4 linked regions of the Arabidopsis thaliana genome follow. The protein of the gene in region 4 interacts with the protein of the main gene of each other region in a pairwise test. Each region holds a gene or a part of one and is shown on either strand. Other genes may lie near its edges. The genes, in order: AT5G14390, WRKY17, PDH-E1 BETA and AT5G28900.

Region 1 (7,205 bases), 6.3 Mb from region 4:
TAACTTGATTAAAAATGTGTAATAGCCTTTATCATGAATATTATAAATAGTACACAATTTAGTATTAGCCAACAAAATTTTAAAATAAAAATGTAGAAATATCCATTTATATCATTCATGATATCTAATTCACAACACATGACAATAGGAACTAAAAGACCATTAGACCACACAAATCATAAGCATTTCCAAAAAAAATAAGTTTATTAAACAAAATATGAAAATTTGTTCTAACCAAATTTCAAAATGACATTTAGGTTTATATTTACTCCAATTAATCTCGATTTATAAACGTATATATAAAATAAATTTACGGCCTCAACTCAAAAGATTATACAAATCTCTGATCCATCCAACCAAAACGTGGACGACTTAACTTAGAAAGAAAAGAAGAAGAAGCCGACGGTGGCGACTGTGCCGACAACAGAGAACTTAGCAGTTGTCACGGCACCACTCTTGGGTGACTCTGCAGTGGGTCCATCGCTTGGTCCATCAGCGGCGGAAGTGCTGTCGGGGGTGGGAGCCGGTGGGGAGGAGACGGTAGGTGCCTCAGCAGAGTCGCTAGGACTAGAGGCAGAGTAGTCATCCTCGGGGACGGGTCCTTCGGCAGCCGGAGAAGATGCTTTTGGAGAAGAGGCCGAAGATGATTTAGGTGCGGCGGCTGGAGCCTTGGTTGGAGCTGAAGGAGCCTTGGTTGTGGCAGTCGGAGCCTTGGTTGGTGCGGCAGTGGGTGATGGAGATTTTTTGGGAGAAGCTGAGGGAGCGTCGGCGGCGAAAGCGGTGGCGATAGTTAAAGTCAATAGAACCAAAACGACAAATTGACGTGCCATTTTTTTTTCTGTTTTAATAGTTTTTTTATTGAGATTAAAAGGAGGATACTCCAAAAGCTAAAGCAGTATTTTTTATTTATTTATTTTTGTTTTATTTTTCTTATTCTATGGAGAAATACTGCAAAAGCTTTAGGATGTAAGAATAAGACATGGGGGTGTGAATTTATATGTTTTTGAAGATGAGAAAAATTAGGGAAATTGATGGATATGAGAGAAACGATGAATCTTATAATCTACTTTTAGAAAGTACTTTAAAATTAAACAGGACTAGAAACCAATTCTTCTATTTATGGATTCGTACACAATTTTTTTTTTTTTGAATACTAATATTAGTAGCTGAGACTGAGATTTTGACTTTTGTTTGATTCATTGATTGTATTGCAGAAAATTAGAATTAGAGTCTCAAAATACATTTTGGGCAATCTTAAAGAGTTTACTGTACTTTCGAACTAAGCCCAAATTAAAACCCCAATATGAAGACACAACTGACACACAAGTCATTACCAAAGGTCCAAAACATACAAACTTCTGCATGGTGAAGTTTTCTGGGGCTTACGGTTTCGAAGACATTTGTTAATGTTCTGACAGAGCTAGAAAACAGACAACTTCTCTTTAATTCTATCTTTTTGTTTGTGTTATATGCATCATTTTTTTGTCATCATCGTTTGATGTGCAGTGCAGTTTTTAATTCCTCTTTATTTTATTTGCAATGTTCGAATTTTCTTCCTTTTCTACTCTTCAAGACTCGAGTCATAAACCAAGCATGATATTACGAGTAAAAGTTGGGTCAAATAAATTACGTAGCAGGTTATTGTAAAGACCTAATTTCTCTCATTTGTTTGCTTAAGATTTAAGCTTCACCATTCAAGAAATGACACACCCAAATAAAACTAGAGAATAACTCACAAATCAAAACAAAAAACCATAAACATTAGAATGGCCAATCAAGATCAAGATCAAATGTTCTTGTTCTGTAACAACTTATGTACGTGTGGTAGATTTTCTCCGGTTTACTCAGACCGTACTCTATCCAATCTATCAACACTCTTCCTTCCTCTCTCAATCTGATGATGATTCTGATGATGCTGATGATGGTCAACGCTCTTCCTTGCCTTTTCGTGGAAGTCAACGCTTCTCCTAGTCCGATCTAAGTGCTGCTCGAACGTGATTCTCAGCTTACTCTTCTTTGAAGGACCCTTTGGAGGTTTCTCTTTCTCCCTTTTATCAACGCTTTGCCTCGGCTTCTCTCTTCTATCTACGCTCTGCCTCGGCATTTCCAAATCGCTGCTCTGTTTCTCTAATTGGGCCGTGCTCGCCCTCGAGGAGAGATCTCTCTCTACGGTTGTGATGAACTTCTTAAGGTGTTTAATGTATTCAGGATAGTGTTCTAGATCACAGTGGTTACCGCCTTCGAGCCAAAGCGGTTCATATTTCTCTTTAGAGAGTTCCCATAGTTGTTTTCCATGAGAACAGTCAACAACTTCATCACAAGTTCCCTGCCACAAGAGAAGAACCACAAAGAGTTATATACACTCAGTTTTCGAACTGAAAAAAAGGAAAAGAGAGTAAAATGAATATGGAACTCACGTGAATGACGAGAACCGGGCAATTCACAAGAGGTATTTTGTCGATATTCTGCAAATATTGTTAAAAGTGGACACTGTGAAAAAGATAGAGGAAAGCAAGAAAATCGAAAATGATCCATCTAAGAATGATGTATTTAATACCTTGAAGATGTCGAACCAGTATGTCTTCTTCACTGGATACATTACTCTTAGACCAGAAAGAATCGGGCTATGGAGAACAGCAGCTCTTAATTGAGGCAACCGAGCAGCAAGATCTAATGTAGGTCCACTTCCAACGGATTGGCCATAAAGGATTATGTCTTCCTGTTTTGCTCCATAGGTTTCCTCAAGACATTTATAAGCAGCTTCGATATCAGCATATGTATGGTGCTCACTTGGCTGCAGTCACACGAAAACAAGTTCGGTTATTTAGTTTTTCACTCGAATCGGGTAAAATCATTATCGATATCTCTACTTGTCGATTCTCAAAATGACAAACCTTTCCAGTAGATTGTCCATACCCGGAGTAATCGTACCTACAAATACAAAAGCAGAGAAGCAACATTTATAGAGCTGAATCAAGAAGCTATGAAGTTGTTTTGGTTTTTAATGTTCTCAAGGATCTGAAGTTGAGAGATGCATTGGTTCATAAAGATTATTGTGAGCTAATTAAAGTTTCCACACAATCTGAGACATAGAAAGAGTTTAAGCATCTTAACGCAACCAAGTTGTATCCACTATCCAGAGAGAAACACACAAGAAGACAACAAATCAAAATTTGGGAAAAGACAATGAACAATAGACTCAAAAACAAGTAAATGTATATAAATGTTTCAACCAAAAGCTTGATCAGCAAAAACTCGATACAGAGAAAAATCATAATAACACAAAAGAACAATCAAACAGTGTATCAAAAGAAACCAAGAAGAATAAACAAATCTCCAGAAAAAGAAAGAAAAACTCCAAATTCATTCGTTTTCACTTAGCAAAACACCATTAATACCAAAACCCACAAGGGACCAGATAAAAAATTTCTAAATAGCCATTAAAAAAAGTCTATGACTTTGATCAAATCCAGATACAAAACAGAACACAATTTCAGAGCAGAAGAGCTAATCATCATCATCAGAGCTATCTTAGAGAGAAAAGGACTAAAACTTTAACATACCCCATGAGATTAACCTTAAGATGGATGCTCAATTCGATGAAGAGCTCATACATCTGGCCCAGATCGGCGGCGTTTCCATGGGAATAAAGCAGAGTAGAGGTAGCCATCGGATGTCTGACGTACATAGCCACGATCTCTGTTCCTCTACGTGTCGGAAGCTTAAGGATTTCAACGTTTTCACGGTGAGGAAATGGGTTCATCAGAAGAAGTCCGGTCAGTTCATCGTAAACCAGCTTGTAAGACGACGGACTCGGCGGGAAGAAAGCGAACTTCGCCGCAACTGATGACGTCACACCTCCCATCTCTCTCTCTCTCTCTCTCTCTCTCTCTCTCTGCTTCACAGTCTCTTTTAGATGAAGAACATTTTTGTAGCTGCTGAAAGATTTGAGATTGAAGCTTTTGCTTGTCTCGGGAACGGAGAGAGAGAGAGAGGATTTAGGAAGAAAAAGTGGCACTTTGAAATGGTAAAGCAAGAGAATGAACAAAAACTGTTTATTAAAGTTTCGAGCTTTGGCTTATTATTATTTTAAAATTGCCATATTTTAACTACAGAAAATTGAAGATTACTTTCCCTGAAAAATGTTTTTTTATGCAATCTGAAATTAAAAGAGATTAAGATATTAAAACTATAGAGATTCGCAGACGAGTTAGAGTTTATATGTCAATGGAGTTACATTTTTTTTATAATGTTACTTTTGCAGATAAAAAGGGGTTTAGAGTAATAATTTAGCGTTGGTGGAGTGATAAATCAAAGCTTATGATTAAACATAAACATGTGTATTTTTATAGCTAGGAATGGCGAAATATAAGAGTGAGAGAACATGAAAGGCACTTAAATGTTATGATTTAATTGGACAAGAAATAAATATCAACAACTAACGATAAAAATATAAATATAAGATGACAAAAGAATGAATAATAATATTAGTAAGCTTTTTATTGTTAAGAAAAATAAAAGAATAAGGAAGGGGTATGTATGTATGTTGGTTTGCTTAATGCGGGTCCATGAAAAATTAGAAGCGGAAAGCAAATTTTGGAGTGGTGGGTCTTCACTCATTCATGCCTTGTGTGACAGCTTATCATTTTTAATGTTATTTTATCAATTTAATAATTATTATTATTCGTAAAAAGAATTTTAAACTTGTGCTGTAATTTCTTATATTTCTATTTTTCTTCTTCTCATGATATATACTATTTAAAATTATTTTACAAACTGTTGTTGAAAAAAAAAAGCTATTAGAAAAAATCAAACCTCTGGAAAACGATATTATTCTGAAAATGATAAATTAATTAATAACACAAATCTTGTTATATAATGGGCCTAAGAAGTTGTACTCATGGGCTTCGTCGAGGAAAACCTTAACGTCGTGGTGGCAACAAGTCAAGCTTGTGAAAAATGAACCTTAAAAGAACACAAGTGAAACTCACATACTTTTTGTTTAACCTGTTAGAAGAAGAATCTTAGAGCATCTCCATTGGTGAGATACTTCATGAGTATCTCATAATATATTATTAATATGTTTATGTTTAATTTAAGTAGAAAAACTTATATTAAAATTGTGCTTCCATTGGTATGAGTATCTCATTAACATTAACATATTATTATATGTTTTTATATTAAATTTAATATCTCTACAATATTTTCAAACATATCAATTATTTATTTTTACAAATTATATTATTAAATAGTTTTATTATTTTTAAAACCATAATTAAACATAATTAAACATTACTTTACATATAAAATCATAATAAAAAATATATAAATTAAACATAAAATTACATATAAAACCATGATAACATAAATTAAATAGAAAAAATATATAAATTAAACAGAAATTACATATAAAACCATGATAACATAAATCAAAGCTAACTATATTATCTATTATGGTTTTACTCTTCATTTGATGATGCACCAAACTTTTGTCATATATGCTCAACTAGGTCATCTTTTAGTTGTTGGTGCATATCTCTATCACGAAGTCGAATTCGATTGCCGAGAATGTTGCAAAATAAAAATAGAAAATTTTAAATGTTTGTTTTCTAATTAAAAAAAGCTATTGTATTTTTAAGTTATTATTATGTTTAATGCTTAACTAACACCAATTAAATAATATTCGTATATAATTTAAACATATACATGATAGAGCTTGTTATATAGATAATTTAATTTTATGAATTTTTAAAGTAAAAATAAAAAAAATAACAAACATATAAAGTATTTAATTGATGTTATAAAGTATAGATAATTTTATTTATAACAAAGAAAAGAAATTAATAACAAGGTGACATATGGAAGAGAGAGAAAGTTTCTCCAAGTTTCTCATTTCAAAAACGATTCTGAGAAAAACTGATTAAAAAATTATTATTTTCATATTTTTGATTTATTTTTATTTGGAGTTTTTCAGTGAGAAACCACCGATGGAGATGGTCTTACTTGCTTACTTCGACAAAAAAAAATCTTAATATATATAAATAATTTATGTCTGTTGAGTACATCATCACATATCTATAATCAAACGATTATATAGGATTTTAATTAGCTGTTATTTTTGTGAATAGCATGCGATCAAGTGAATGAAAAGCGAATTATAGATGAAAACAACAACGAATGTAAATAAAAGTCAAAAGATAACGAAAAGTGTCATTTACGAAGATAGAGAGTTTACTTTGAAAGAACATAAATTTATACCAACAAACTTATTGCATGAGGGTCCCAAATTACGTACACGTGCGTCAATTTTTCATCATTTAGTTTCTTACATTCCTCTTTTGACAAAAAAAATAAAAGTTTCTTACATTCCTCTTATATACTTTTTTGTTCTTCTGCGATCTGCATTCTCAATTATTTTGTCTGATTGACTCGATAAATTTACGAGGTTCTCTTAAAAAAATGTTTACACGAAGTATTTAGATTTTCCTTTGTTATTTTACTAGCTAGTTAACCATGAAATCATTTGAGAGGACAAGAATATATATAAAACATTATTTTATTCTCAGTATCAAAAAAAAAAAATTATTGTTTTCATAATTTCAATTTTTTTTTTTATGTGTTCTAGTTTTTGTTAACACTATTTTTCCCAATGAAAATTATTATTAAATAACAATGTTTTGGGATTGTACATAAATAATAATAATAATAATAATAAAAATAATAATGTTTTGCATACCGCCGTTTTACCATTTTGATTGTCAATTCTAAATATATTGTTATCTTTTATAGTTATTTTTTATTATTAAAAAAATGTGTACTGTTTATGTCAATAGTAGAATTAGACAAAGTATGTGCAATCTTTTTCGCAATATTCCTATTTTATTAGCAAACAGTAAAAAAAAAAAAAAAAACAAGTAAAACATTTGTCATAGTCTAGTTATTAATTATAGTGAAATCATATGATTATGTAATAATCATGTTTTTAAATACTAATAAGACTATATGGATATCATAAGCAGATACAAGTTTTAGCTTGTTATATACATGCTTAATTAATTATTTTTTCATATCTTAAGATAATTTGAAATAGCTTATATATGATATTGTTAAATTTAATATCTAATCCAATAGTACTGGATTTTTTATTATATATATATATATATATTTTTTTAAATAATTATTAAACATTAATAATTAGATATGTT
Region 2 (6,510 bases), on a different chromosome or scaffold from region 4:
ATTGTTTTACAGCAAATGCTTTATAGTAATCAAGAGGTGGAATTCGAAATCTGAGATAGCACTTTGTAACCTAAGATAAAAATTAGTGTTACGGGTTTGAAGTCAATAGTAAAAACATCTTTCGTAAGATCATATTCTTGGCGTTCGTATAGTGGTGAGACTGTTTCGTACACTTTTGTTAATAACTCCTATGAATCTCCAAGGCAGAATGGAGGAATTTCACAAAAAGAAAAATCTCAATATCATTTCTGATGAAATTGATGGTCAGACAAATAAAAACAAATTTCCGACCGGTAAAAAATTTAATTCTCTAACTTTTAAATTTTTTTAAACGTAATCGAAAATTCTTTAAAAAAATATTAAGTTAATTTTTTTATTTTAAAAATATAATCTGAGTTTATTAAAAAATTAATCATTATCTCATAGATATTAATACATTTACCAATAATTTATCTCGTGGAGGTTACATTGACTTCTACAAACTATTCAAATCGATAACTCTAATTCGCTAAGTAATCCCCAAATCTTTTCTCAGTATCTTTGGCATAAATAAAGCCAAATCTTCTCGAGTGAATAGCAATAATTATACATCATGGCTTATATATTGTATTTTTCTGATAACAAATGTGCATTATTTCTATCATCCACTAACTAATAATTAAAAATTCAATATTGACCGTACTATTATAAAAAAAAAAAACAATGGTTGGAAGTTTGAAATACGTAAACAACAAAAAAACAAAAAAAAATAAAACTTCGTTCGTTAGTACCGTATGAATTCATAGATACAACATATACAAAATAAGTATTTTACCCAACATGTGTCTTCTTTCACTGGTTTGATCTCATTCGTTTTGCATGGGCTAACAAAACAATTATTTCAAATACGCGAAGATTATTATTTCTATGCGACCATTTTATAGAAAAGATAATTTAGATAAGATATAAAGGAGACATTTTTAGAGGAGATAACATTGAAATATATAGTATAATATATTTTTAGAGATTCATAAATTATAAATTTAGAAAAGGACATTAAAATTTGATATAGAAAAGGAATTTAAAAGTAAGTAAAAGTTTACAAAATCAGAAATGAAAAAATAAAATGCTTTTAAAAAAAATGTAGACGTGCACGACAATCATATATATTAGTCGGTTAGGTCAACGATTCCCATGTCGCTAATTTATAATGCATTCCGTTGACAAATATTTAAAAATGTTTCAATTATACATCTTGAGGTCTGTTTTTGCACACATAACACGTCATATATCATTGACAAAGAAAACACGTCGTAATTTTCTTTTTCTTTTTCTTTCATGTAGTCTTCTTGGCTTAAAAGAATTCAGCTAAGTAAGTATGGTTGATATTTTCTTCTACAAGTGATAAAACTTTGGAATTTTTGAATAAGTATAATTACAAGAAAACACTGCATATAACAACTACAAGAAAACACTGCATATACCAAAATTATCGAAACATGTATATTCCGACAAACTGAAATCACCGGAAAACGGTGGTGTATTGAAACAAAGAGTTGTTTTAACTGAAGTTTGAAAGTAAACAAAAGATTAAAAAGTAATTTATAGTAATGTTAATATTTACTCATGTTTCTGCTTTGGTGATTAGTAATAAATCTTCTAAAATCTATATGCCATTTTATAAATGCGATTAAAAATTTACCAATTAAACCTTATTTAGAAAAATGTAGAGAAAACTTCAAATTATCTCCTCAAGTAGGATTAGATCGAGCTGCAAATTGGCTCTTTTTATTCATTTAATTTCCTCCATTCCTAACTGTATTGGTATTGTTTACTTTATTTCTATAAGCAACAAAAAAAAAAGAATCTTGTGGACAGGTGACAATTTATGAGTCAGCCAGAATTGCCACGTGTCGGAAGATCAGTTGCCGTGGTAAAAGGTGTTTTTTAGATTCTCAAAAAAAAAGTAGTTAAAGAGAATAATATCAAAGAGTCAACTCCACAGTTCACAGATCCACCGTTGGATCTAACTTTTGGATTATCAACGGCCCAGATAATAGTTAACCGGAATCACTCGGTTACCGAGGTAGTCAATAGTTCTGTGTTTTAAAAAGAAATGCGTCCATGTGATCACTTTTATTTTATTTGTAGTCAGCTTTTGTTTTCCTACTTTGTCGTTTTTCTTTATCGCTGTTCTCAACTAAAGACTTGTAGACTATACTAATAAGATATAGTCAACGATTGTCGCTGTTATTATAGCCTTTAATCTCTATTAATGATTGTTAATTGTTCCACAATCTGTGTAGATTAATTAGGTAAAATTAAAAGTCAAGAAAAGATTGTTTTCAATTTACTAGTTTTCCAGTCAAGACGTTTTCTAGAAGGCTATGAGGTAAGAAAAAAAAAATATATATTAGGTGCAAAGTTAATATGGGAGTCAAATATTATTTTCAAATAATTATTATTGTCAATGCACTGCAAAATTAGTAATAATTCTAGAAAGAAATTGAAATAATAAAAATATGCTGCAAACACGAGTTTGGTATGTGTGCACCATATAATATTGACAAGTTGTAGTGTTGGTTGAAGCTAAAAATAACACAAAAACATAAAAAGAACATGAATAACGCCTAAAACTTAACACGAATAAAATAAAAAAACATAAAATATATTATCAAAAGTCAAAATCACAAAAGAAATTAATACCATTTTACAATTAGCTGAAAATTTATTCTATCAAAATCCAGTCCTATTAAAGAAAAATATGTGATTTGAGATGAAATTAATATTACATATTTTGATTTGGTTCAAGAATAAATTATGGATTTTGGTTAAAGACCTTCTAATATTCCAAAGAAACAAAAAAAAATCAGCCCAATTGTTCATACAAATAAAAACAATTCATTACCTTTAATTTTAAATTTATTGACTTGAACTTGAAGACATAAGATACCTAATAAAAGAAAAAATAGATATGAGACTTTAAAAAAGCTTTATGATTTTCTTTAGACACCATCCTTTAATGTTTTTTATTTGACTTTTTGTTTCTTTGAAATTCCTTTACCACCATTTTCCCCAAATTCAAGTTTACGCACAATGATTCCTTTATTTTAAAGACACGATTATAAATTCTTGCTTTGCACAAAAGAAGACCCTACATATCTCACAACTCAAGGAGACCAAACTTTGATTACTTTATTCCATAGAAATCTTCAACTCAATCTCAGCCGTTAGATCTAAAGCACCGATTTGACTAAACTCCATCTTAAACCTACTCAACCGGTCACTCGGTCACACCCATAACCCCATATATCACGCCAACGCCATTCTTTTTTCTTCCAGTTTCGCTCTCTCATTCATCAAAAAAAACTTGCACATCTTCTCAGATCTTCAAGTTTCTCCTCTGGTTTCTCATCATGACCGTTGATATTATGCGTTTACCTAAGATGGAAGATCAAACGGCTATACAAGAAGCTGCATCACAAGGCTTAAAAAGCATGGAACACTTGATTCGTGTCCTCTCTAACCGTCCCGAAGAACGTAACGTTGATTGCTCTGAGATCACTGATTTCACAGTTTCTAAGTTCAAGAAAGTTATCTCTCTTCTTAACCGTTCCGGTCACGCCCGGTTTAGACGTGGTCCGGTTCATTCCCCTCCTTCCTCCTCCGTTCCTCCACCGGTGAAAGTGACAACTCCGGCTCCCACTCAGATCTCTGCTCCAGCACCGGTTAGCTTCGTTCAGGCAAATCAACAAAGCGTGACGTTAGATTTCACTAGACCGAGCGTTTTTGGCGCTAAAACCAAGAGCTCGGAGGTTGTTGAGTTTGCTAAAGAGAGCTTTAGCGTATCTTCTAACTCTTCTTTCATGTCTTCTGCGATCACCGGTGATGGAAGTGTCTCTAAAGGCTCTTCGATCTTTCTTGCTCCGGCTCCAGCGGTGCCAGTGACTTCCTCCGGGAAACCGCCGCTTTCTGGTCTTCCTTACAGGAAGAGATGCTTTGAACATGACCACTCTGAAGGCTTTTCCGGCAAGATCTCTGGCTCCGGCAACGGCAAGTGCCATTGCAAGAAAAGGTATTGTTATTACTCCACAATAAATTAATCATTTGTTTGACTAGCCTAGTAGTAGTTAATTGTTTGGTTCGATACGGTCTAAACCAATCGCTCACGGACTCAGTGAAAATATATCACGAATTCAGATTTCAAAATTCTTTTTTTGCCTCGAATTTGTCAATCATGAACAAGTCTACTAGTTAAATTAACTAGTCTCAGTAAAAAATAAAGAATAAAAATCCGGGTTTAATACTTTGTAGACCGGTTTGGTACTATCTAAACCAATCGGTCAATGTATTTAGTGAAAGTCAACGACAGTAACTTAAACCAAAGTGCACGCCTGACAAGGACAAGTTAGTGGGTGCTGTCGTTTTGTATAGGGAAAGTTTTTACGTTTTAAAAGTCTTTGTCTGCCCGTTGACTTTTGCTAACCTGATGCATGTTCACGTTAGTCGTGTCAGCGCACGTTAAATCATTTCACTAATTACAATGTTTTATTATTTAATTAACAGCCGAAAAAATCGGATGAAGAGAACCGTGAGAGTACCGGCGGTAAGTGCAAAGATCGCCGATATACCACCAGACGAATATTCATGGAGAAAGTATGGACAAAAACCGATCAAAGGCTCACCACATCCACGGTAACTATCGTACACCATCGCTATCCACCGTTGATTTATTTGTGAAACATTGGAGATCTAACGGTTGTGATTTGTTTTTGTTGATTTCAGGGGTTATTACAAGTGTAGTACATTTAGAGGATGTCCAGCGAGGAAACACGTGGAAAGAGCTTTGGATGATTCAACGATGTTGATTGTGACGTACGAAGGAGAGCACCGTCATCACCAGTCCACGATGCAGGAGCATGTAACTCCTAGCGTGAGTGGTTTGGTGTTTGGTTCGGCTTGAAGAATTAATTAGTTTGGTAGTTTTGTAATATTTTGAGAAATAGAGGGGTTGGTTTTGTAATTTTTTTTCTATAACAAAATTAGTTTTAGATTTTTTTTTAGTAGTCTTTTGAATGGATTTTAATCTTACTACCGAGAAAGAAAAAATTCTTACTACATTTTCATAATTTCTTGTTTGATATATTTAGTGGTGTCATGTAAGAAAATGATGTTTAGCAAAGTAATTGGTATATAAATGTGTAGGCATATGTATTTAATGATATGGTTCGTAAAGTTACCATTACTCTGTTTGATCTAGTTATGATTTGTGATGGTTGATTTAGGGGAAAAATGTCATTTAATCCCCCAACTTTCAAAAAATGGCCATTTTATACATCAATTTCATATGTGGCCGTTTAAAACATGAACTAAACGTTGACTAATTTTTAAAACATGATCTTTCGTTGACCAGGCCAAAATAGACATGCCGTTATCAGTCATTAACGGAACTTCTAACGTCCGTTATCATTCGTTAACTTTATTAGTCAAGTTTCAAATTGTGGCCATTTTAAACATCAACTTCTTATGTGGCTATTTAAAACATGAATTAAACGTTGAATACCATTTAAAACATGAAAAATTCGTTGACCAGGCCAAAATAGACATGTCTTTATCAGTAGAACCTAGAAACCCGTTAATGACTGTTAATCTGTCCAAAATAACGTCGTTCAAGAATAATCGAAAGAACATAAAGATTTTTTCCATATGAAATCTCCATATCAAAAAGTTTTAAGCAGAACCCAAGAACATAGTTTGATAAAGAGATAATCGCAGTGCCAGTAATTGGAAGCAAATAAAGGTGTTTTCGTTTATATATTTGTTTTAAATTTTAAAAGGAATCATGGAAGCAAATTGAAGACTCATTATAAGATTGTTCGTCTTGTTTGAGCGGTTGTAAAAATAGATTTGGGGAAGTAGGGTTTCATTTAGAAAACAATCCTGATTTTCTTTTGATTACTCTCAAAACAAAGTCGTTTTAGGGATACTAATAGAGTCGTTAACAAGTGATAATGAATGTTATAAGTTCTTTTAATGAATGATGACAACATGTTTATTTTGGCTTGGTCAACGAATTTCTCATGTTTTAAATGGTAATCAACGCTTAGTTCATGTTTAAAATGGCCACATATAAAGTCGATGTTTAAAATGACCACAATTTATAACTTGACTAATAAAGTTGTTAACGGATGATAACGGACGTTAGAAGTTCCGTTAATGACTGATAATGGCATGTCTTTTTTGGCCTGGTCAACGAATAATCATGTTTTAAAAGTTAGTCAACTTTTAGTTCATGTTTTAAACGGCCGCATACGAAATTGATGTATAAAATGGCCATTTTTTAAAAGTTAGGGGATTAATTGACATTTTTCCCGTTGATTTAATGGAGGGTTAGACTTTTGGAATGGGGTTGTTAATGCAATGTTTGACTATTATGTAAGTTTATAGAAAGTCAAAAAGAGATTTCAATGAGTTGTTGGGAGATATTAGATGTGGAGGTTGAACAATATGAATTAATGCGGATTTGAGGGT
Region 3 (7,230 bases), on a different chromosome or scaffold from region 4:
TAATTTGCCACTGGTAATAATAGTACTCAGTTTATTGACCATGATTATCATTCACAGGTATTTGTAGCTTCTAGATTGAATGTTCCAGGAGCATGGCAGATGCCACAGGTGTGTTTTATTCACTCACTATGACATAAAGTTTTGCGAGTTTTCGATATTTTTTTCTCTGTTTCTATGTCCTTTTATTGGCCAAAAAGCCAATGATTCAAAATATTCATGGTGTTGTAACTTTTGTTGTTTAGAGAAAACGTAGCAAATTACTAATGTTTAACACCACTCTAATGAAAACATGGTCAAGAATTTGATAGAGAATATTTTCTAGATTGGTGAAGTAATCAACATTTTCGAAGTAGTCAAAGAGTCTAGAGACTGTTTTCTCTGCTTTGCATTTATCTCTGAGTTTGAATAGCTCACTAAACTGAGGATATTACAGGGAGGCATTGAAGATGGGGAGGATCCAAAGTCAGCAGCCATGAGAGAGTTACAAGAAGAAACTGGTGTTGTTTCAGCTGAAATCGTCTCTGAGGTCGCTAACATTTAAGTTAACACTTGCGCGAACCGATATGAATCAGAGGATATATTTACTAATGTGGGTTCTTTAATGTCTAAACAGGTCCCAAATTGGTTGACATATGATTTTCCACCAGCAGTAAAAGCAAAAGTTAACCGTCTTTGGGGCGGTGAATGGCATGGTCAAGCTCAGAAATGGTAAGCCCTTCGATACTACTTAATTTCGTGAAAGCAAAGAATGTGGCTCATTGTTCTGAAACTTAATAATTCCTACAGGTATTTAGTGAGACTGAGGAACGATGAGGACGAGAAAGAGATCAATCTAGCGAACAACGAAGCGGATTCAGAGTTTGCGGAGTGGAAATGGGCGAAGCCAGAAGAAGTGGTAGAGCAAGCAGTGGATTACAAAAGGCCAACCTATGAAGAAGTCATCAAGACTTTTGGTTCGTTCTTAAACGACACAGGAAGAGCTGCTAAATGTAAATCAGCCAAGTGGTGATATAAGATACCAAGAACCAATGTTTGTCTTTTTATTTTTTTTGTTAACTGTTGTTTTTCTTTTTTTGGGCGGTTCTTTTTAGTAGAACCCTTTTGGAATGCAAAAGCTTTCTCTAGGGGTTTTTTACTTTCATTTTTGTAAATTGGTTATTGGTACGTAGAAAGTTTTTTTGTTTTATTTTAACATGGGGGTCATTGTAATAAAGTCGTTGTCTGGATTCAGAAGGAAATGAGTTGTGTATGTGTTTATAATAAGTGTAAAGAAAATTCTCAGGTTAAAATTTATTGTAACTAGCACCATGAACACATATAAAGTGTAAAGAAAATTCTAAGGGTCTAAATAAAAGAAAGTGGGAGATAAAATTAACAAACAAACATTCTGAGTTACAAACCATATTAAAAGACACAACAAAGGAGACAAACTTTAACAAAAACAAACCATCTTAGACAAATTCTTTAAGAACTAAGCTACAGAGAAAGGAAATGGAGAGGTAAATGATAAATAATGGTTCATCGGATAAATATGAATTTACTGGCAAAGCTGCTCGACAGCGGTCACGATCTGAGCCGGTTGAACCACGGTCCACTCCTCCAGTGTACCAGCGTAAGGTGTAGGAACGTCTTGAGAAGATAAACACATCACCGGAGCATCTAAGTAGTCATGAAAGTTCTCGTTGATGGCAGCTGTAAGACTTGCCCCAATCCCACCGGTTCTCATACACTCCTCCACGATCAAAACCCGATGTGTTTTCTTCACCGAGTTTCCAATTGTGTGAAGGTCGAACGGTTTCAGTGACCTGATGTCGATAACCTCGGGGTCATACCCTTTGTTCACCAGAGTTTTTGCTGCCTGCATCACATGGTACCTCATTCGCGAGTAAGTGAGGATGGTAATGTGCTCGCCAGGTCTGACCATCTCAGCTTCTTCAAGGTTACAGACGTAATCTTCATCCGGGATTTTCTCCTTGAGATTGTAAAGCAGCACGTGTTCGAACAGAATCACAGGGTTCTCGCTTCTTATTGCGGCTTTCATCAACCCTTTGGCGTTGTAAGGAGTTGAGCAAGCAACCATCTGGATCCCAGGGATGGACTGAAAGTAAGATTCTAACCTCTGTGAATGCTCAGCACCAAGCTGGCGTCCCACTCCACCAGGTCCACGGATGACAACCGGGATCGTAAACTGACCACCGGATGTGTAGTGAAGCATTCCACAGTTGTTGGAGATTTGGTTGAAGGCGAGGAGGAGGAAACCCATGTTCATACCTTCAATAACGGGTCTTAGACCAGTCATGGCAGCTCCAATGCCCATACCGGTGAATGCATTTTCACAAATAGGAGTGTCGAGAACCCTGAGGTCACCAAATTTATCAGCAAGGCCTTTGGTTACCTTGTAGGAACCTCCGTAATGGCCAACATCTTCACCCATAACACATACATGTGGATCTCTGTCCATCTCTTCTTCCAGACCTTCCTGAAGAGCCTCGAAAAGCAATAGTTCATGTCTGTAAATTCATACGAGAAGATTGGTCACACTTTGTATTTTTGACAAAAAAAAGGCATCATCATGACACTTATATTGAATATGAGCATGGAAGTTTAAAGGTAGATAAAGAAAATGTGCTATTTGTGACGACTAATACATGAAAGAAAATGCCATGGTGACATCATCATGGATTGCTTATGTGAAAATGAAGACAACACACAAACCCCTAACAGAAACATTCACTAAATGGAAAGTCGCATAATATGTAACAGAAGCCTAACCAATTGCCGTATGATGTCCAGAAATGTTCTTGAGAGTTAAACTATGTTCATGGGAATGAACTAAATGGTTTAACGGTTTAACCTAAACATTTGGCATCATAAGCACAACCAAAGGCATCACTAGAATGATTACTGGAAGCAGACATGCAACACATTAAGCTTTTGCCATCACTATCAACTATAGATTAGTGTTTTGACTACTCTAGAACTGGCTAGGATCCTACATCACCACACCCAATAGCACATAGTTAAAAACTTCCTCATCGTTATCCAACTTTGAATCCCCACTAAAATGTAATAAAACTACTGAAACAATCTAATCATTTAGAACAGAACATGAAAGATCCAATTAGAGATTTGTTCAAGCAGTGTCTAAATCCTTCAATGAGCACAAAAGAGTAAAATCAAAATCGAATTTGCAAAGCTAAAAAGGTGCAAAACAAACCCAGTGCTCGCAGACGTATCCGCCTCCTTCGTCTACAAAACAAAAACGTACATCATTAGAGATTAGAAGGAGAAACCATAAAAATCACAAAATCGGAGACAAAGACATTACCGCAACAGCATTTGGAATCAATTTCTGAGAGTGACGAACTCTAAGTCCAGAACCAAAGCTCTTCTTACTCGCATCAGATCCAGCCACTATATATCTCTGGCTCCTCACTGCATCAAAATCAAACAACGAAACTGCTTTAAGATCTCACAAATCCATCTCAATAGAAGCTCCAAAACACCAGAAATCGAAATCAGAGAATGCAGATCGATCATCAAATAAAATTCGAACCTGAAAGATTTGTGCGAGAAGGAGCAACGAAGAGTTTCTTGGAATCGACGGAATTAAACGTCGATAACGTCGTCGTAGCAGCTCCAGCTCCATGGATTATCGAAGACATTTTTTATATGCTCAAAGCTCGGGACAATTTCGAAGAATTTTGGACTGTTAATATAAATATATACAAGTGTATGCAAACAGAAAATGGCGATACGAAACAGTGACAAGCGGAGAAATCGAAGAATTAAATGAAATTGTCGAAATCGAATTAAATTATGTGTATTGTTGTTGTGCAATCAAATCCACATGTTTACATTGTTTTCATCGAACTCATGTGGCTTCTCTATTGTATAACAACCAATGTTAATTTAACACGTGTTACTTAACGACTGGATTGGCACGTGTACGTATATGATTTGTGGATTATCACTGGGTTTGCTTAACCACCTGGACCAACCTAATTACGTTAACTGTGAGATTTGAGGTTTCCACCGATCTAGGAGTTGATGGGCCTCAAGTGTCTTGGCCCAGTAATTAATAGATCAGTATTATCCAGTAAGCAAATTTTCGTCAAAAAAGAACTTTTTTTTTTCTCCACAAAGAACAAATTTTCATAAGCGAAATATAAACGTAACTAAAGCATTTACATTGAGTCTCTCTAGTCTCTACCAATATATTGTTTTGTATATTTTATACTCTGATTTGTAACACATATATGGTAAAATATTATTTTAATGCGATTATAAAAAATTTACCAATCAAATGTATGCAGTTATTTATTTTATTATCTGATTTTTTTTTAAAAAAATTATTATCTGATTTTCTAGTATGCAGTTTTCATTCTACGAGTTTTAGTTCTGTGAATTCTCATAATGCAAATTTTTATAAATTTGAGAGATGATTTAATTATTTATCCATATGCAAATACATATTATATACAGTGGTTTAGTAACGTCCACGCAACAGCCACGATTATACGATAAATACCCTATGATAATAACTGGTTGCAACATTAAATAAAACAATCCTTTTTGGCTTTTGGGTCCACACAACACAATAATATACTGTCACTGAAGATAACAATGGCCTCTATGAGACAAATTCTAAATTAATACTAACTTATAGCATTTTAAAACGGCATTATTAGATTCAAAAATAATAAAAGTAAATTACTCGTTAAATTAATACTTATCGTTAAACGTGGCATTAAATCATAAATATACCAAACCTCTGCATTTGAAGGGTCATCAATGTCAATCTCTGATTTTTGAAAAAGATCAGATAGAGATAGAGAGACAGAGGTAGAGATATGGAATTGCTCTTTCTCCTCTGTTCAATCATCTACACTTCAATCACTTCCATCTTCTTCTCTCTTCTCCTCCCGTTTCGCTTCCTTCTCCACCGTCTCCTTCCTTCACGCGCCGCCGTCGATCCTAATGTCTCTTTCTACGAAGGCACAGTCTGGCACGACCGTCTCCGTCCTGTCCGCCACTCTTTCCGTTATTCCGTTCGTTACGCACTCTTTGACCTCGACAAAGCTATTAACACACCGCCGGATCATTTCTCCGCCGACGAAGCTCGCCGTGTTTCTCGTACCACCGGGCCAATGTAAGTTTGTTGACTCGTCCAAGATCGGAAGAATCTGGATTTTGATACCTAGAACTGAAACTTTATAATGCGTAATGTTTTTGAGGAACAAACAAGATTTGAAAGATTCTGTTGATCAGGAGTTAGTTAGATTTGCAAAATTGAGTGTTTTTTTTAGTTTCTGTTTGGTTTTATGGTTATGTTTTGCTCTCTAACAGTGTAGTTTGGTTGTTTTTGTAATGAAATTGTTAGGTGAATGAATCTTTATCAGTTCAGAAATTGTAATTGTGATAGAGGAAGTAGTTTTGATGAATCTGTAATTTTTTCGTGGTGCAGATTTCTATTGACAATACCACCAAGCGTTGGATATGAACAAAACCCATTGAGTTTATACTATTGCTATGACTTGGAAGGGTCAAGTAAGCGCTTAAGTAAATGCATTGCTCAGGTATATGAATCAGAGGTTTTTGTTGTTCCTCTGTTTCTTGCTTATGTCTCTCATAGTAATGAAACCTTATGGTGCATTGGCTTTATTGGTATTAGTGTCTCTATCTATTGATCTGATTAGAGGAATTTTGTAGGTTACAAATACGCCGTGGGGGGAACGAGTGACATTTGTATTTGACCCTGAATCTGACTTGGTTGCTAAATCATTACAAGTCAGTCCTTTCATGGTATGTTGTTGTTCTTTGATATTATTAACTTCTTTGATTGATGTTTTATCAGTTTTGTGTGATTGATTAGAGGTTAAATAACCTTTTAGGATATGCTTGGGAATTGGAAAATCAGAGCTAATGAACCTGGAGATGATTTATCTGTCTCCATTGCATCTCAACATCCTCATTTCGGTAACTATTTCTCTGCGACATTAAAGGCGAAAAGGATACCCCTATCGCGGGTGTCTGATCCCGCTGTTTTCTTCTGGTTGATGCCTCATAAGGTTGCGATATGGATCTATTGGCATGTAAGTGACTTATATTTACTCAAAAATCGTTTTAAGTACAAATACTCAAAACGTTGATCAACTTAACGTCATTTCGTTGTTTAGGCACTTCAACTCTGGTGGAAGAGTGTACCTTTCATTCAACACCCGAGATACTCGAACCCATCATACAGGGAGGAAGCAGCGAAACGCGATCAAGAACTTCGTTGCCCCGGGTTAGATGGGTCTGATTCTGATAAAACCAACAAATTTGATGGGTTAAAAGGAGATGGTTGTAGTAGTAGTTTTGGAGGATGTCGCTTTGCGTGGCGAGATGCGAACTGGCCTTGGTCATGAATACATACACTCTCAAGGTAATAAACACACTATCTTTTCACTTGTCTAAAAATGTTTAAAAACCTGAACTGATACTAACCTATTCTTCATACCTGAAAATGACAACAAATTATGTTCTATCAAATCCTGAAATATGAAAGTTACACCCATTTTTGGTCTTTGCTCAATGAGAAAGATTTTGCAGGCTTCTTTTCATCCTTGGAATCATCAGTTTTCTCTTTTGATTTAGGGGGTAGCAGATCATCAAGAGTTTCGGAATTTACGGTCATTGTCCAATGATATGATTGGTATAAATCATTTGAAAATCTCGTCTCAAATTTAGTTGGCTTGTTTAAAATTTGGCTTGAACACAAGTGAACCTTGTTGATTAATAGAAAAATCAACTTTGCATTTTGATTGATTCGTTTGTAATAATTCTCATCTCCGAAAATCCTAACCTCTGTTTGTTGATAAGTCTTCATGTGATCATGTGACTTGATTTCTTGCAAGTTAAAAATTTGTATATATGTATACGATATATACTCTTACCCTTAGGTCTAAAAACTTGTGTTACTAAACTAGGTTGTGATTAGTCGATGGTATATATTGATTTTTCATGTATTTTCTTTTGAGTCATTATAGAATTTAAATGGCAGCTACAATGGCTCTTTTGAGTTTAATTTAAAGCTGTTGACAAAAAAAAATAGTTTAAAAGAGTATTTATTTTTTATTTAAATAAAGTGTGTTGTTTATTATATTATTGAGTTTGTAGTAGTTGTTACCCTGTAAGATTTCTTTACTATAAAACGAGTTTTTGATGTAATTTGGATTTGTGGTTCTT
Region 4 (9,262 bases):
TTTTAGATCAGTGGAGGAGATGAAGAGAATTATCCGTTAACGAGGAGAGTGCAAAGAGATATATGGATTCATCAGCATCCTTTGGATTGCGGAAACAAGAGTCTCAAGTTCCTTGTAGCTGATTGGGAAACACTTCCTGGTTTTGGAATAGGAGCTCAGATAGCTGGAATGACTGGTCTACTCGCGATAGCTATAAATGAAAACCGAGTGCTTGTTGCAAATTACTACAACCGAGCAGATCATGATGGTTGCAAAGGTACATAAAGGCTTTAATCCTTTGAGTCTTCACTCTAACATATAGCAGCAACTATCACAAATTACATCTTCTTGGTTAATCTTCTTATCAAGATGTTTTAGACGCTGAAAAGTGTATATAAGAACCAAACTTTGGATTTGATTTGGTGTTTCTCTTTTGTTTTGATGCAGGTTCTTTTCGTGGAAACTGGTCTTGCTATTTTCTACAGGAAACGTCAGAAGAGTGTCGAAAACGAGCCTTTGCGATTGTGAAGAAGAGAGAAGCGTGGGAGAGTGGGATTGTTACAGGGAAACAAAATTATAGCACAAAGGAGATTTGGGCTGGGGCTATACCAAAGCAATGGGGTAAGCCTTGGAGTTATATGAAGCCAACTACAGAAATCAACGGAAGTTTAATCTCCAATCATCGGAAAATGGATCGGAGATGGTGGAGAGCACAAGCAGTGAGATACTTGATGAGATATCAAACAGAATACACTTGCGGTTTGATGAACATTGCTCGAAATTCCGCGTTTGGAAAAGAAGCTGCCAAGATTGTTCTTTCAGCTGGAGATTGGAGAAAGAAGAATAAGAAGATGAGGACAGAGATTGAGGAACAGGTGTGGTCGGATCACAAGCCGTGGCTTCCAAGGCCAATGCTGAGTGTTCACGTACGGATGGGAGACAAAGCATGCGAGATGAGAGTCGCAGCTTTAGAAGAGTACATGCATTTAGCTGATCGGATCAGAGATCGGTTTCCAGAGCTCAACAGGATCTGGCTCTCTACAGAGATGAAGGAAGTGGTGGACAGAAGTAAAGATTATGCTCACTGGAGATTCTATTACACGGAAGTGGCAAGACAAGTCGGTAATAAGTCGATGGCTGAGTATGAAGCGAGCCTCGGGAGAGAGATGAGCACAAACTATCCTCTGGTTAACTTCTTAATGGCGTCAGAAGCTGATTTCTTCGTCGGAGCATTGGGTTCCACTTGGTGTTTCCTCATCGATGGTATGAGGAATACGGGTGGGAAAGTCATGTCTGGTTATCTCAGTGTCAATAAAGATCGGTTCTGGTAACTTTGCGAGTTCCACACTATGTACATAATAAGACTCCTCTCCTTTTTTCTTCATCTGTTGCACAAAGAGTTTTCAGTATAATAAAGGGAGGTTTGGTTGACAAACAGTTCAGAGCAACCGCAAACCAACTAAACCGATTCCGATGTGAAGATTTGAAGATCAACTGAACAGAGCAAAGTGGCTTTTCCTTAAGAATTTCACAAATAAAAAGACATCACTTCAAGATCAATAGTAATAACACAACCAACCTCTTCTCATCTCAGTGACATCCTGTGTCTTCAGGAACCAACCAAAAATTAAAGGAACTATAGCATTGAAATTCACAAGTCTCAACATCTGGAGATGATGAAGTAACACCCAGAGATAGAAACATCAGAGCAAAGTGAATGCAATACAGGTGAAGAAGACTGTAAAATCTAGACGATTGTTAATAAATATAACTGTAGAATCAGCTAACAAATAAAGAGAAGTTAGAAAACAAATCCAAGCTAAGTATGGTATTCAACAGAGGATACTACCGGCTTTTCGTTTGTTTTTCACTTTCCTTCCTCAACAAAGCTCCAAATGTTCTTCTCAGGGACTTTACATTTCTCTTCTGCATGATTAAGTTATATTATGAAATAATAACATTTGCACAAGCATCAACATCAAAGTTTTTTCAGTTTCTTTTTTTTCTAATCCTTTTCCACTAGTTTTATCTTCTAGACACTACGGTTTTCCGTTGACTTACCTTTATGAACTCAAAAGGGAGCCTCCAGCGACGACTCATCCCAAACCTCAGCACTTCCATTAGATGCATCTTCAACATCTTCTTCCATTGATAGCCTAATATACTCTCTATGTGCAAAACGGTCCCAATCTGTCAATGTAGGGTTCTCTCGCTCCTGTTTCCGTTTGACATTAGAAATGTTATAAGACGCATGTGGTGGTGTGAAGAAGTAGCAAGGTAAATTAGATGATTAGTACCTGACGAATGAGGAATGGATCCCGGGTTTCAAATGCCATAAATTTGTTGAGATTAAATAGGATGTTGAAGACGTTTCCAGAGAGCTTTGAGCCTTTCAGGTCATGCAGCGTTATATGGCTTTCGTTCTGTGGAAGGAAATAAAAAACAATCAAACACAAAACAAAATCACAAGACTCAGAAAGAAAACTGGGAACACAAACTACTTCTGTGACTATACTAAATATAGAAAGAAGAAAACAAGAGATATATTGTTGAACCTCAGGTCCGATCATATCAATCATCTGACATAAGATATCCTCGAAAAGAACAGCCTCTTGCGCCATGCACTCCATTCTATGCAACTGCTCTTCATAAAAGAATTGCATCTCATTTCGCGTAATAATCCCATTTGCATCCAAGTCTATGCACTTAAACCTAGTCCAACGTATACTTGTGTCAGATAAAAGACTTAAAATGGTATCTGTCTGCAACTTTCGGACCCTTCTATCACAACTTACCAATATTCTAGGCTAGGCACTGACGATTTATCTTCTTCCGCAAGAATGAAATAGACAAAGTCCTCATACCCCATCTTCCCTTCAACTTTGTTAGTGAACTTCCTAGCAACCTGAGAAGAAACCAATGCATCTTAAGAGCAATAATAACTTTGAACGAGGAAAGAACTCTTAAAATAGAAGCAATATAAATAAAATCTTCAAGTAGTAGGCATTAAAGAGCAAGGTTTTTTAGACAGAACCTGGGAGAATATTCTGTCGACAATCCGGTAGGTAAGAGCATGGTTTCCATATCGCATAAGATTTTCTTTGTCAATCAGGAAATCGTGATCCGTATCCAGCTCCCAGAACTTGCAGTATATGACATAGAAATGCTCATACGAGAAGTATCTAATTGCCAAAGTGAATAGAAAAGTGATGTTAAATGAGCAAAAACAATACTATAAATACAACAATAGCACGCAAATATTTTTGTCAGTACCTCAACACTTTGTTAATATCTTCTTCTTCATCAGCATGTAGCATAGCATCAATTAAGTTTCCCCGTTTAAGCTCCCTAAATGTAATTCGACCATTGCCAGATCTATTTATGTAATAAAATATTCGGTAGGTGACAGTTTCAGCTGTTTCAGCAAAATACAAATTGTATCAGACAGAAAAGCATCCTTAAAAATTTAGCTTTGATACCGGTAGCAGCAAATACCAAAGAATATGGACTCCAGATATCTAGAAAGCAATCAAAGTGTTCTCGGGAATTCATTACTAACTGACGCATGATTCATAAACAAGCTCCAGAATTTATTTTTTCTGATATTGATTATATCTGCAGGATTCATAGACTGAAGATGATTCATTCCGTGCTTGAAAGCTTTATGGATTTGCAAGTTATAAGATGATGTCTAACACAACAAAACAAAGAAACCGTATCTTATAAAAATTTTAAAATCCATACAGAGTAATGCCACATTTATTACTGTATCTCGATGCATCAATTATCAAAATTATTTATTTCACTAGAAATATTATTGATGTGGTAACCATTCGACAGATTTAGATAAGTACATGGCAAACTTATTCACTCATTCTTCTCAACTAGGGCTGTAGCTACCAATATACTTCGAAGAATAAAATGTACAATCAAACTCAATTACTAAACACCATTACTCAAGCAATATCAAGAAGAAATACTATTGATCTGGTAACCATCTGACAGATTTAGATAAGTACATCATACCAAAGTGGCAAACTTATTCACTCATTCTTCTCAACTAGGGCTGTAGCTACCAATATACTTCAAAGAATAAAATGCACAACCAAACTCAATTACTAAACACCATTACTCAAGCAATACCAAGCGGAAAAAGAAAACATGAGATAACTTAGGATACTAAAAATGTAAATAAAGTTGAGACCTAACCATATCTTTCTTGGAATTCAGGTGTGGATTGCAGGAACTCTAGCCCAGGATGCGTCGCCAACAGTTCTTTGAGTAGTGGTTTGAAATCATCCTGCCATGAAAAAAAGAAAAGAATCTGGAATATAATAAACTCGCTCTCATGACTGACTGAATATGCAAATCTTAAAAGAAAATAACCTTAACAATGAAACTCTGATCTTTCTGCTTTAGTATCTTGAAGATTTGGGTCGTTGTATCCATTATCAACATGTTCCCGTTTACCCAAAAATCAATAAATGCATCTCTGTAGAAACAAACACGAAAAACTGTTATACTGGGTGGTGTTTCAGTAAACTATGCAGACATGAAGAGGAAGCACCATACAAAAAAAAAAAAAGCATAGAAGAAGCGGCACACACCTAGTAACAAAACCTGTATTGTTGAGATCGATCTTCCGGAAAAGGGAAGTGGAGAAGAAAGATGGGAGCTTGCAGATTTCTCTGGTGACTAACTTGAATTCTGAGTATTGATTGAAAATGGAGAAAAAAGTTAATAAACAGTTCAAATATAATTAGTAGAAAACAAATGACTGACTTCTAACCTTGTATCTGCAAGCCATCCATGTGACCATAAAAGAAGTGATTGATTCTAAACATACATTGCTCTTTAATCTCGCTTGGTGGAGGGCGACCATTTTGGAAATAAAACTAGAATCATTTCAAGTTAAGAAATCAGTGAGTTAACTCCATTCCATTACTATATATATATAAAGAAGGAAGAAAAAGAGGAAAAGAAACCTGAGGTATAGGCTCTTTAACAGGCTCGTTGACTACTTTGAGAGTAGAACCTAAGTTAGAAGGGGCTCTCTGTTTGGTTGTACGGGGTGAACCACAACTCCTTGGTGAAAGCGGAGGAGCACTTCCCGCAGGAAACATAGATGGTATAGTGGCAGAATTAGAACCCGATGCACTTCCAGTAACATTGATAGGAGCTCCAGCTACAGCATCCTTAAGCAATGATCCAACCTAGAAAACCAACGAGAAAAAGATTAGACTAGAGATTCCAGTGAATAGAGAGTAATTAAGCAACCAAATCTCATTAACCACCTAAGGCATCATTGTCATAACTCACACAATCCAAGAAAGATTCAAACTTTACACCAATCTTCAACACCACAGAGTAATTTAGCAAACAAATCTCATTAACGTAAGCTTCATTGTAATACTCACATAAGAAAATAAGAATATACGTCATAACTCACAGAATCAAAAAATGATTCAAACTTTACACCAATCTTTCAACACCACAGAGTAAATCTCAGTAACCTAAGCATCAATGTAACACTCACCAACACTATCAAAGAAAGATACGAACTTTACACCACAGAGTAATTAAGCAACCGAATCTAAGTAACCACCTAAGGCATCATTATAATACTCACTAACACAATCAGAGAAATATTCGAACTTTACACCATTCTCAGTAAGCTAAGCATCATTGTAATAACTAACACTATCAAAGATCCCAACTTTACACCAATCCTCAACAGAAACCAGAGAGTAATTAAGCAACCAAATATCAGTAACCACCTAAGGCATCACTGTAATACCCACTAACAGTATCAAAGAAAGATTCAAACTTTACACCAATCCTCAACACCACAGAGTAAGTAAGCAACCGAAGTATCATTGTAACATTACGAAAGAAAGATTCGAACTAACAGAGAGTAAGCTAAGAAGCATGAGTGTAAGAATAGTGAAAAAGCAGAAACCTGTCGCTGAGCTTCGGGAAGAGAAAGCCACTGGTCGAAGAGCTTCTGAGTGAATCCAGGTTTAGAATTGAGAACAAAGGAAGACATTTCCTGAAGCTGCAACAAATCTGCATCCAAACAAGCCATATCTCCGGGAATAACCGTATCCACCATATTTAATCAATCGCATCAAAGTCGAGAAGATGAGAGAATGATCTTTGAGGCGAGCGAAATTGGAATTTTGAACAAAGTCGAGATCTTCTTCACCAACACATCGAATCTAGTCTTCCTTCTTCTCCGATTCCGAACAAGGAAATGAGACAGCCAAATTCTTTTATTTATTTATTCTTTTGAGCAATCTGAAATAAATAAATAAATTAGAGAGATACCCAAAAAATACTTGAAACACAAAAAGTTGATTTTAAGGGTTTATAATTTATTAAATGTTTGGGTTTGAGTTAAGTTTTTTGGGGTTTAGGGTTTATTTTTTAGAGTTTAGGATCTAGTTTTGAAAACTTTAAAAGTAATTTTGTGGTATTTTCAGAAAATAATATATTTTAGTGGTACTTTCAAAAAAATATAAACTACTAATAATGTTTTATAACAAAAATTAATTTTATGGTATTTTTAAAAATATGTCCATAAATAAATTAATATTTCGTTGACTAAATAATAAAAATAAGTAAGTGTATTTGAAGTAGAAATTTTTTTTCTCAACATGTGGTTGGATTCTTGATTTTTTCTATATTTTGTCAACCACACATTAGTTAAAATATTACTTCATAATTGGTAGTCCAATCTTAAGGAAAAATATTTACGAAACAAATTTCATATAATATACTATCTAGAGTAACGAGTTAGACAATCTACCTTATACAAGAGCCATGGATTCTAGAAAGAAAGAAAGTTTTATATATCATATAAAAAATACTTGACGAATGAGAAACATATGATGTGTTTCATATCATGTTTTCCATATTTCATAAGATTTTCTTTGTCAATCGGGAAATCGTGATCTTTATCTTTATCACATAAATTATAATATATGACATAGAAATGCTCTTATGAAAAGTATTTTGTTGCCAAATAAATAGAAATGTGTTGATATCAAAAAAACTAACACAAAACTATAGTTTGCAAATACGTGTAACTTAAAGTCTGACTCAATATTTATAACAACAAGAAAAAAAAACTATTTTTGTTAGTATCTCAACACTTTGTTGATATCTTCTTCTTGATCACCATAAAGCATATCATCAATTAAGTTTCCACGTTTAAGCGTTCTAATTGTATGTAGATCATATCTAGATCGATTTATGTCATAAGATATTTTATAGGTAACTATTTCAACTAGTCCATGGAAATAAAAATTGCATTCTTGAAAACCTGAGACATGGTAAAATCTAATCAGGTTCACATAATTTTTCTTGACTAAATCACATATCATATATAATTCATGTACTTTTACCAAATTTAGCAAAATTATCCCCTTATTAACAACATTAACTAGGGAAAAGAAAAACTATAGTAATCTGTCATTCATCAGATCTCGTATGTTCTATATCATCTTCATCCATGTAATTTCTTTCTAGATTACCTCATTTGCCCACAAAGACATCAAAAGAGAAATTATGATGGTCACTACAAAACTTAAGAGGCAAAATATAACGTAAATTATATATATGAAAGGAGCTCAACTCTCTCCCACAACTTGACACATCAGCACATGAGAGCTTGCCACCTAGACTTATTAAAATAAGTAAAATATAATTAGTAATTAATTCAACATATGAACCTATCATAAGTAAGAACTTCAACCATCACTCTTTCTATATTTTTAAATATTTTCTTGAGCACTATTAACCTTAAATTTGTAACAAATCCTCTAACATGTTGATTTCATAACAAATTTAGCTGGTGAAATGTGTGTCGATCAATTAGAAAATATAGTTGTTTTTTATAAAATGATAGGAAGAAAAATAAACGGTAAATTATAACGATTGTGATTCTTTCAAGTTATTTTTTAACGTATGAAGTTCATATATGTTGGTATGGTGTTATTAAAGATATTAAATTATTATGATTATAGACATAGGCGATTGGGTTTAAAGTTTACAATTACGCTCACTTGGTTGGTTTTGCCAACACAAATCTTCCATTACCTGGTAAATATTTACTAAACATATGATTTTCTATTTAAAATATCTAAATATTAACATTAGTCTCAGCTTGAAATTATAAATATAATAGAAACATTATTGTATTATACGAATCTTAAATATTTACTATTCTTGGTTAATAACAACTGTGAAGAAAATAGAGAAGAAGAAAAAAACCAATAATCGAAATTACAACTAAAATCAAATTGAAAACAATACTAACCTGGTTTAGTAAGGCAATAAGTGTAATAAGTGATGTTACCTCGTCACCAGTGGGAAAGATAAGGAGGAAATACGCGGCGACTGAGCCAAAAAGCTGAGCAATCAAGTAGAAAATACCACTGAGGAGAATGATGTTACCTCTGACACACTGAGAAAGACACCGAATGTAACGACAGGGTTAACGTGGCCACCAGAAATGTTAGCGACAACAGAAACAAATAACAAGGAGACCTAAAGCATGAGCTAAGGCAGCGGCGACGAGGCCGGTAGGAGTGGTGGCTCCATTGTTAGTGAGCTTGTTGAAAGCAATTCCGGAGCATGAGCCAGCGAAGACGAAGATCAAAGTCGAGATAAACTCTGAGAGCACAACCCTAAGTGCGTTCAGATAATAGACCTCTTATTGGAATCCATAAAAGGCGATGTTTCTGGTCACCATGATTGGTGAATTATTGAACAGCTGAGGTTAAAAGCTTTTTGATAAAAGAGAGTGAAGATATTGGTTTGGTTTTCGTATATATATGGCCGAGTGTTTTATACTTCTTAGTAGTTGTAGTTAAAATCCATTTGTTTGTCATATAAACATATTATTTAGCATTTTTCAAATCAAATTTTTAAAACAAATTAAATTGTTTTTAATTTGGACAACTATAATAATACATTAGGTGCATGTTTTAAATTGTAACAGAAAAAGAAAAATGAAATTTACAGATATTCGAATGTAATTTTTTGTTAAATCTTAACATACTATGTATACATGTTGAATTGTCGACTTTGATATTCCAGACGCATGCCTTTCAATGTACCGACAACAGTAGCTGGAACCTTTGATCATTTGATTCACCGATGCCCCAGAATGATATTTTATTTTTACAGAAGGCTTAGTTCCAACTAATAGATTTGACGATTAATCATCCTAAGAAACAACGGAGAATTGCGAAAGCCATCCGACGAGATAAAATTCGTC

The links.
Region 1: the proteins of AT5G28900 (region 4) and AT5G14390 interact in a two-hybrid assay, tested with the Arabidopsis thaliana proteins (one large-scale study listed by BioGRID).
Region 2: the proteins of AT5G28900 (region 4) and WRKY17 interact in a two-hybrid assay, tested with the Arabidopsis thaliana proteins (one large-scale study listed by BioGRID).
Region 3: the proteins of AT5G28900 (region 4) and PDH-E1 BETA interact in a two-hybrid assay, tested with the Arabidopsis thaliana proteins (one large-scale study listed by BioGRID).

What each region holds. Positions count from the first base shown.
Region 1 is NC_003076.8:4,635,711-4,642,915, forward strand, and holds AT5G14390 (alpha/beta-Hydrolases superfamily protein), read right to left. Parts: upstream 4,126-7,205; 5' UTR 3,866-4,125; coding exon 3,564-3,865; intron 2,932-3,563; coding exon 2,895-2,931; intron 2,795-2,894; coding exon 2,558-2,794; intron 2,466-2,557; coding exon 2,418-2,465; intron 2,327-2,417; coding exon 1,841-2,326; 3' UTR 1,577-1,840; downstream 1-1,576. Other genes in the region: AGP6 (arabinogalactan protein 6), read right to left, coding at 378-830.
Region 2 is NC_003071.7:10,436,108-10,442,617, reverse strand, and holds WRKY17 (WRKY DNA-binding protein 17), read left to right. Parts: upstream 1-3,148; 5' UTR 3,149-3,395; coding exon 3,396-4,054; intron 4,055-4,545; coding exon 4,546-4,674; intron 4,675-4,764; coding exon 4,765-4,942; 3' UTR 4,943-5,265; downstream 5,266-6,510.
Region 3 is NC_003070.9:10,582,813-10,590,042, forward strand, and holds PDH-E1 BETA (pyruvate dehydrogenase E1 beta), read right to left. Parts: upstream 3,869-7,230; 5' UTR 3,666-3,868; coding exon 3,557-3,665; intron 3,436-3,556; coding exon 3,329-3,435; intron 3,250-3,328; coding exon 3,218-3,249; intron 2,511-3,217; coding exon 1,538-2,510; 3' UTR 1,293-1,537; downstream 1-1,292. Other genes in the region: NUDX25 (nudix hydrolase homolog 25), read left to right, coding at 58-108, 434-526, 614-708, 787-1,009; AT1G30130 (DUF1365 family protein), read left to right, coding at 4,854-5,152, 5,468-5,579, 5,713-5,805, 5,895-6,095, 6,180-6,410. UniProt on the Arabidopsis thaliana protein: The pyruvate dehydrogenase complex catalyzes the overall conversion of pyruvate to acetyl-CoA and CO(2).
Region 4 is NC_003076.8:10,922,681-10,931,942, reverse strand, and holds AT5G28900 (Calcium-binding EF-hand family protein), read right to left. Parts: upstream 6,309-9,262; 5' UTR 6,092-6,308; coding exon 5,939-6,091; intron 5,193-5,938; coding exon 4,965-5,192; intron 4,875-4,964; coding exon 4,769-4,874; intron 4,687-4,768; coding exon 4,587-4,686; intron 4,472-4,586; coding exon 4,366-4,471; intron 4,280-4,365; coding exon 4,189-4,279; intron 3,395-4,188; coding exon 3,253-3,394; intron 3,162-3,252; coding exon 3,014-3,161; intron 2,885-3,013; coding exon 2,775-2,884; intron 2,692-2,774; coding exon 2,535-2,691; intron 2,403-2,534; coding exon 2,277-2,402; intron 2,195-2,276; coding exon 2,051-2,194; 3' UTR 2,041-2,050; intron 1,906-2,040; 3' UTR 1,481-1,905; downstream 1-1,480. Other genes in the region: AT5G28910 (alpha-(1,6)-fucosyltransferase), read left to right, coding at 7-256, 427-1,310.